Rattus norvegicus: one gene and its partner. The protein of the gene in region 2 purifies or fractionates together with the protein of the main gene of each other region. This does not show direct contact. Links are inferred from orthologs where the notes say so. Each region holds a gene or a part of one and is shown on either strand. Other genes may lie near its edges. The genes, in order: Vamp8 and Stx11.

Region 1 (4,435 bases), on a different chromosome or scaffold from region 2:
TAGTATTCATAATTTTGCCTTGGGGGCATCAACTCCAAATGACTGCCAAGGACAAGCTTTAAAAGAAAAATCAGTTTCATACCCCAAAGAAGCTTAGGAATGTAGCAGTTGACTGAACTGTCTCAGAAATGGCTCTGTGGGTGGACCCCTTGCTCAAGCCCAAATGGATCCACTCACTGGGCTCTCTACCAACCAGCAGAGTAGCAAGGAGCTAGAGGTGGGAACTCAACAATCTCCCTCATGGGCGAAAGGGCAGTAGACACGACAGTCTGTGTCCCTTCTGTTCACTTTACCTTCCCCCCAAAACTTCTCTCTCCCTACAAGATCTCTCCCCCCCACTCCTAGTTTTCTCCCAACCTCACCGTGGCTTCCAAGTCCTCTGTCTTGTTTCGGAGATGGTCCAGGTTCTCCCCTCGGGCCAAGATCCGCTCCACATTCTGGGTCATAATATTCTTGACTCCCTCCACCTCACTCTGCAGGTTCCTGACTCGGTCATTTCCGGCACTCCCACTGGCCTCCTGCAGGTCAATACAGGGGTTAATTAGGCTGGGCAGCAGAGGATCCAAGAGGCCAGAGGAGGTTGGAAGGACCAAAGTAGCTCTACCACTGAGCTAAATCCCCAACCCGAGATTTTAGCCACTTCTAATACTTCAGTTGTTTACAAGGGGAATGTTCTATGGAAACGTTCACGTGGGTGCAAGCGCGTGTATGTCCCAGATCAGCCTCAGGTGTCATTCCTCAGCAGCCATTTGGTTTTTGGTTTTGTTCCCAGAGGCTGGGTCTTCTGTTGGCCGGGGGTTCTGAGATTAGGGTGGACAGAAAGCCTTCTCTACCATCCGAGTGCTGGGAGCCACTGCACCTGAGTGCTTGCACCACCGCACCTGGAGTTTTCTTTTCTTCTAAATGGGTCTAGGGACCCAAGTCAAATCTCCATGCTTATGTGGCAAGCACTTTGTCCACTGAGCCACCTCCCCAGATTTATTAATTTATTTATCCGAGACAGGGTCTCATATAACCTAGGCCAGCCTCAAACTTCCTAAGTAGGATGACCTTGAACATCTGATCCTCCGGTCTTGACTTACCCTGTGCTGAGATTACAGATGTGCCCCATCACCCCTGTTTTATCAGGTGCTGGGGATCAAACCCTGAGCTTCATGCTTGCCAGGCAAACACTCTGTTAGCTGAACCGCATCCTTAGTCTGGCATAAGTGCAGTGTGTGTGTATGTGTGTGTGGTGTGTATACGTGGGTGTGCACACACATTATCAGTAAGTGTGTGTTGGGGAATATACATGTATGCCATGGCACACATGTGGAGGTTAAAGGACAACTCTCATGAGTGGATTGTCTCCTAGAGTTGGACAGACAGGAGTGAGAAGGATATTGAATTCAGGCAGACAGGCTTGCTCTGCAAGCACTTTTACCTACCCAACCATCTTGGCTGCCATATAAGGACATTTTTTTTAAGTCCCAGAAGATGAGATTTGATTCTGGACTGCAAACCACCTTCGGGGGTTTCAGGGTGACAAGGAAAAAACAGCACACAACTGCTCCCATTTTGACACCACAAAGAGGGTCGGGGAGAAAACAGAACTGGATTTCCGTTCTCCTCAGCAGAGCACAGAAAAGTACTATTTTTTTTTTTTTTTTGGTTCTTTTTTTCGGAGCTGGGGATCGAACCCAGGGCCTTGCGCTTCCTAGGTAAGCGCTCTACCACTGAGCTAAATCCCCAGCCCCAGAAAAGTACTATTAACTGGTCCCCATAGCCTCCCTCTTCCCAGTCCTAGTGGGTTCTCTCTAAAACTCTGAGAGCTGGCCAGCAGAAGGACCCTTGCCTGGCCCAACCCAAGTTCCTCTCCAGACAGCTGTTGGTGAATTCTGGTTCCAGCTTGCTGGGCAGTGTAACCCTGGTTCAGTCGGTGTGGCCCCCAGAAGGCATCGTGTGCCGTTGGACCGCACACTTCTGCTTTCCCCACAATTTAGCGCCTGGTAGGCCGCACACCACCGCCTGCTTATGTAGATATTAACAAAAGTTCTTCCTGCTGAGGTCTTCTTCCAGGAGGCCTCTAGATAAAGCTTTTGAACAAGGAGGAAAAAGGCCTGACTCCTCCCTTAGGGACCCAGGGGGCCGTGGTACTGGCCGTGGGTGTGGGCTGAAGCTAGATTATCAGGGAGAACCGCCATCTGGCTTCTTTACAAACCCTTGGCACTGTTGCTAATGTTTCTAGAGAAGAGGGGTGCTTTTTGTGGCCAGGCAGATCCTCTGCGTGTCTGCGTAGATACAGTGCGAGGCTAAGGGGGGAGAACTCCAGTCCGCTGGGCTGGAATCTGAACACCAAAGAGCAGGAGCACTTGTGGTCCGGTAATGTCACAACACCCGGCTCAGGCCCAGCTGGAGGAGGCGGAGGAGGGGGAGGGCGCGGCGCAGCAGCTCGGCTTGGAATTTGGGTTCCCCAGCCCCCACCGAAACCCTGATCCCATCCAGCACCGAGGTCATGGGAAGAAGGAGGTGGAGAAGTGTCGGGAACCCCTGGCCCGGAGTGCGGAGCTATTTGTAGACGAGTTGTCAAAAGTAAGGAGAGAGAGGCAGCGCTGGCCCAACCCGGCCAGCCTACTGACGGCCGCCAACTTACCTATCTCGACACAGGCAACCCCCAGGCCCGATCCCGCTCCTCTAAATCTCTCTTTCCTAGTCCCCACGTCACTCACCATGTCTCGGAGCACTTGGGCCTCTCAAAGCAGAACTTCGCCTAGTCTGTTTCCACCCAAGGCAGCTACAGCTTCACTTCCTGCTTACTCCAACTTTCTGCCCGCCTCCTGCCCATCCCGCGACTCCAGCCTCTCGGGCTCCTGTCACACGTAACTAACTGCAGGTTTCTCCAGGTAGGCGGCCGCCCTCTACTGCCCTCCTCCTAGTCTCCTCCTAAACAAAAGCTTAAGCAACAGGGCAGGGGAGTGGGGGAGGGGAAAGCGTCTAAGTTGTCAAGAAGGAGAAAAGAAGGATCAACAACCCTGCTAAGTTTTCAGTAACTTCTTTTTGTGCTTCAAAGGAGTAATTCTAGTTTTTTTGACTTAAATTAGCCTTATTTAGATAGCAACGAATATACAGGTGAAAAAATCTTGCTGGGCAACCTTTGTCTCTGAGCCATCCTGGATGAGAAGAGAGCACTTTAGTGAGGATTTTAATCCCCAGAAAACGGGGCTGGAGAGATGGCTGGGCAGTTGAGATCACCTGGTGCTTCTGCAGTGACCCAAGTTCAGGTCCCGCACCCACACCTGGCTGCTCACAAACACCTGTATCGCAGCTCTAGGGGGTCCGGATGCCCTCTTCTGGCCTCTGAGGGTATGTGAACACACATGTGCACACACACACACACACACACACACACACATACACATAATTAAAGTCTTTAAAATCTCCAGGAAAGTTCCAAGTTGGCCCTGGGGGAATCTTTGCCCTCCTCTTTGGATTCTTCGTTGCTGAGGTTGACCTCCAGCAGTAGGAGGAGTACAAACAGCAGGGGCAGGGCACCTTAGCCTTGTCACAGGACAGGAGACAGTCAGGGAAATGGATCACTCACCAGCCCCTCCTTTCCTTCTGGAGTTCAGCAGTCCGGCATTTCCTTCCAAAGGTCACCGTGGGGGTTAGTGACCCTGGTCAGGAGTCAGATGGATTAGGAGGGGGCCTAAGCGGAAAGGGTTTTTCCACCACACGTGGCTTTCCGCCAGAGAAAATCTGCTCTTCTCCGGATGGAGTTTGTCAAGACAGAACAATAACAGGGCACCAAGAGAACACACATTCTTTCCCACCCCAGAATAAATAACATTGTCAAGGAGGAAATCTTAGCTCCTCCAACAAATAAGTCTTCTTTTTTTTTTTTTTTCTTTTTGCTATAATAAATTTAGAATCTCGGAATCATTTTAAGACACTTTTGTGTTTTCCCTTGTACATGCTCAGGGACTCAGGGAGGAGCTACATCTACAAACACTGCATGCTTAGTTTTACAGAAGCAAATTGAAGCAACTAGTAACACTTTAAAAAAAATCTTTAAACAAAGATTTATCATTATTATTTTTAAGTGTGCGCATGTGTGTGTGCAGGGCGGCTGGGTTAGGTTCTCTGGTAAGTTACAGGCAGTTGTGGGCTGCCTGATGTGGGTGCTGGGAGCTTAACCCTTCAGTGAGAGTAGCACATGCTCTTAGCTGCTGAACTCGCTCTCTAGCCCCCTAGTAATGCCTTAAAATGGCACAAGCCCTTTCCTTCCCTATAAGCAAAAGAAAAATCTAGAATAAACAGGAATGAGATCACAACAGAGAATGTCTGTTCTACTACACTTGATCTTAGGCAAAAGGCTAAGAGACTGTCAGTTCTAAATGAGGTCCTTACCATCCTGCTAAGTGGCACGGCTCAAGAGGTCACAAAGAAAGAAATAGGT
Region 2 (4,323 bases):
AATCGCACTCAGGTCCTCCGCAAGAACATCAAGTTCTGAGCCGTCTCCCACCGATTTGTTTTTGTTTAATTCCGAAACCCACCTCCCAGCCTTCTCAGCATCTTCCGTGGCCGGTTAAGATTCTTTTCTCGTAGGATCTTTCAACAGCTGTGAGTAGGATTGGTCAGGCATTTTCGTGGGGTGGGGGTGGGAGTGGGGGTGTGCAAGTGGATTTGTGGTTGTTGAACCAGGGGCAAGCTCCGCTCACTGTCACAACATCATTTATCTGTGTGGTAAAAACTACTTTCCTCCTCCTTTCTGTACAGCCCTATGTAGAGGAGCAGGCTCTCTATATTGAGTGCAGAGAGACAAGTTTCTTTTCCAAGAAAGTGGGTTTCTGCTTCGGTTGCTTGAAGTTGCTCTGCTCCGGAGACTTGTGGACCTATTTCATCGGCCATCTGTTCACGTTAGATGAATAACTTTGTGTTACCATCCAGTGCCACCTCGTTCCTCAAATTCTTCCGGCTTTAGGCACCCGGAGCTCTTTGGGTGACTTCCTAGCATCAATGCACACATCATTTTTCTGTTTTAGATGGTTAGCCTTCGCCGTGTTTGTCCAGAGGCTTCCCATCCGCTCACCCGAAAGCCCCTTTTCTCTTTCCGAGTCTCTAGTAGGGTGTCAGGCTACGAGGACGAGGTCGTGGCAGTACCCGTGGATGCCCCACTGACAGCAGGCGGGAAGGGACTAGTGGAAGGCGGGGCTCAGTGTCTTCAAGATCCACAACCTCCGGTTCAACCATCGCGCGGGTCTCTGCAGGCGCAGCCACACCCACGCTCAGAAACGGTTTCTAGCGTCCTAGCCTCGGAAATGCTCTGGACTGCAAATGTCATTCATGCCGAGGGGTTTTCCCTTGGAAAGTCCGACGAATCCCGCTCCGCCCATCTCTCCATCCCAGAGCACCGAAGAAGACAGAGGAAGTTTCCCGGGTGGTCCACACGGTCGCCCGCAGCATCTCGGGGCGCACAGCAGTGGAGGGAGGCTCGTGTCTAGGTTCTCAGCCACCCGCACCGTGGCGACTCTCGTCCGTGAGGACGAGAAACTGCGCGCCCAGCCCAGGGCGTCCCCGGGGCGGGGCCTGGTCCCCCAGCTGTGCAGGCTCAGCGCGGTGGGGGCGGAGCCAGCAGCGCCAGATGCGGCCGGGGTGGCGCAGAGCTCGGACCCGGCTGAGAAGCGCAGCCCTGGCCATCAAGAAGCAGAAGAGGCAGAGCCTCCGGGACGCGAGCATTGCGTGTCCTCCCGGCGTCCGGACGCTGGATCAGCGCCCCGCCGGATCACGGTTCGTTTCGTCACGGGAGTGTGCTTTGGTTCTCAAACTCTTTGGGCATCGGGGACCCGGGTGCGGGGCTGGCTGGAGTGGCGGACCTCACTGGCCCAGGGCAGGGATGCTGCCCAGCAGCAGGTGGGTTTGGGGTGTGGTTCCCTCTGCGCCTCTAGGTACCTTCAGGACGCGGCTTTGGGTTTCACTCCTAGAGCCAAAAGCTTTTTAAGTCTTTGAGAATCTAAGGCTTTATCAGAAGTGCTTCAGAAATGACTGGTGTAGTCAGTTTTATTGTTTTATTGAATGGAGGTGCTTCTTTTCCGTTTGGTTGCCACTTTCTCAAGCACATCAGAATGGGCACTTCTCCACTTGAACTTGACAGTATGACTCAGGAGCCAGGAAATATGGGAACATTGATAAGGCGTTGAAACAGCCCGCACAGAAGATTTGGGGGAGTTTGTTTTAGGGGGGAGCGATCTGGTGGCTTTGCTTAAAGAACCACACTACGGAATTCTTTTGGCTTCTTTGGCCGAGACCAGCTGAGACCTGCGTTTTACTTCCTGTGGCTCTCTCACACTTAGTAGAGCATTTCTCAGCAGAGGGAGGAGCTGTTGTTTCTACACGGGTATCCACAAATGAGTCAGAAGGCGACTATAATTGCAAGGCTTTGTTAATACGCTTTTGAAAAGCGAGGTTGGATCCCTGTACTTAGAATAAGAACGGAGATGAGTCTGGTGCTGTCAAACTGGGGCAGGCGGCCTAGGAAGTAGCTATTCAAGTTTTCAGTTTCCTAGAGCGTCTGATGGGACAACATGCCAGCTAGGGTCACTAGGCCGATCTGAGATAACCCTTAAAATCATGTGCTTTCCCACAGAAGCTGAAGAGAAAATTAATTCCATTATCCAATAACCATTTGTTTTCACTGGTTGGTAGAAACTGGGCATTTAGTGGAGTGATTGTAAGTTACTCCGAAATTTAAAATATTTCAGAAAGTTTATTTTTTTTACCAAGTTAGTACTTTAAAAAATATAGAGAGAAGCTTTTGAAGAAAGTAGATGGTTGCTAGAGCCAGACATTAATATGCTCTTAGAAACAGACTTCCCTATCTAGAAGCTAAGCAGAGGCAAGAATAACTGTGTATCTTGGCTGAGCTGAGGTCAGCCCTAGACAGCAGTTACAAGGTTCTGGTCTGTTCTTTTCCTCAAGTTCCATGTGTACAATCCCAGGCACAGTGCTATCCTGACAGCCAGAGCCACAGCTGAGCTGATTTTCCTGGAAATCCAACATTGTGAGATGGGTGCTATTGTGTTTTATAAAAAAGAAAAAGAAGTCAGGGATATGTTTAGTAGAGGTGTGGGGGAAGGGGGTGCCTCTGTGGGTCCATGCTGAGGCATCCCTTTCCCCTGAGGGACCATCCATACATGGTATAGTATAAGAGTATAGAATAGAGTTTATTTAGGGCATGGGGAGGGGAGTGGACGGGGTAGAAGAAACAGAGAAAGGAGAGAGAGAGAGAGAGAGACAGAGACAGAGACAGAGACAGAGACAGAGACAGAGACAGAGAGACAGAGAGAAACAGAGACAGAGAGAGACACAGAGAGAGACAGAGACAGAGACAGAGAGAGAGGAAGGAGGAGGAGGAGGAAGAGAAGGAGGAAGAATAGAGAGTAGAGGCAGGCTTTGATCAGGTATAGAGGCGGGTAGAGGAGAATGGGGAGAAAAGGGACAAAGAGCAAAAGAGTGAGGAGGGGGCAAGCAGCCCCTTTTATACTGAGTCAGGTATATTTGGCTGTTGCCAGGTAACTGTGGGGCAGAGCCTAGAAGAAATGCCAGCAGGTGCTGTGAGAAATTTACACCCAAAGGAGGCGCCCCAGTGTGGAGGATCAGAATATCCTGGATCACTCTTGGGACAGCAAAGGAAAGTCTGGGTTCCCATCATCTGCTTGTCTTGGTTGGCAGCCAGGTTTTCACTCAATACATACATGATTTGAAAAGCATATTTGTATGTGCATATGTGTATGATTTAAAGAACATACTAGTGAGGCGTGGCGTTTAAAGTGTTTGAATTAACCGTGTTTTGTATTGCTCGGTAGCTGTGTGAAAGCAAACCCAGTCTGTTATCATCCCTGGGCACTTATGGGCACTTTCCTGTGTCTTTTAAACAACAGGGAGTGACTTACGAGCCATTGGTGGCTTTCTGCTCATCGGTTGTTCCTTATCTGAGGACTGGCTTCACTTCCTTGATTTTTATTACCCGAGCTCTGAAACGTGAAATAGAAAGTTCCAGCAATAATAGTATGCATCTATTTATTTTACTTGAGACGTGGTCTCACCGCGTAGCCCTGGCTGACCTAGAATCCACAGCTATCTCTCTGCCCGCTTCTGCCTCCTGAGAACTCGTATTAAAGGTGTGTGCCACCACACTTGGCAGTGAGATGATGCTCTGAGAGAGGGAATACATCCACACCAAATTAATTAGAACCATATCGTTGTAATTGCTCCACTATTAATTCTTGTTCATCTCTTACTGTGCATAATTTATGAATTTAAACTTTATCTTAAATACGCATGCACGGAGAACAGCAGAAATAGGTGTCAGGCGTTCACCACAGTCTCTTGGCTCAGATCCCTGAGGGTTAATTTCCCAGTCCTCTGAGGTGGCCAACTAGTAAAAGGCTCCATTACCACATCTTTCACCTCTGTCTCATCGCTCCCTCCGCAGCCTCAGAGCCACATCTTCTAGAGGAAAGAAAAAAGATGAAGTGTTATTCAGTATGGCGTTCCTGGGCTTGGGTACCCATCTGACTCGTGGTTAGTGGAAAGAAAGCATTTATTAAACAGTGAGCCTAACTGTAGATGAGGGTTGTCCAGGAGCTTGGATTGGAAGGTGACCCAGCAGAAGGAACAGCAGTGCCAAGGACAGAAACAGTTTCTGTGGTCAAGAAAGCCTGTTTCCTGGGGGCTGGGGTTTAAGGTAGAAGGGGGGGCAGAAAGGTGAAGGGGGAAAGATAAGAGAAGAGGACCA

Evidence for each region.
Region 1: the proteins of Stx11 (region 2) and Vamp8 purify together in Homo sapiens (co-immunoprecipitation; 3 studies listed by BioGRID and IntAct, counting the BioPlex papers as one, with this or other methods). This does not show direct contact. The link is inferred for Rattus norvegicus from reciprocal best matches to the Homo sapiens genes STX11 and VAMP8.

The regions. Positions count from the first base shown.
Region 1 is NC_086022.1:106,002,794-106,007,228, forward strand, and holds the start of Vamp8 (vesicle-associated membrane protein 8), read right to left. Parts: upstream 2,850-4,435; 5' UTR 2,712-2,849; coding exon 2,709-2,711; intron 519-2,708; coding exon 363-518; intron 1-362. UniProt on the Homo sapiens protein: SNAREs, soluble N-ethylmaleimide-sensitive factor-attachment protein receptors, are essential proteins for fusion of cellular membranes.
Region 2 is NC_086019.1:9,137,144-9,141,466, reverse strand, and holds the start of Stx11 (syntaxin-11), read left to right. Parts: upstream 1-1,247; 5' UTR 1,248-1,316; exon of another isoform or gene 1,317-1,439; intron 1,440-4,323. UniProt on the Homo sapiens protein: SNARE that acts to regulate protein transport between late endosomes and the trans-Golgi network.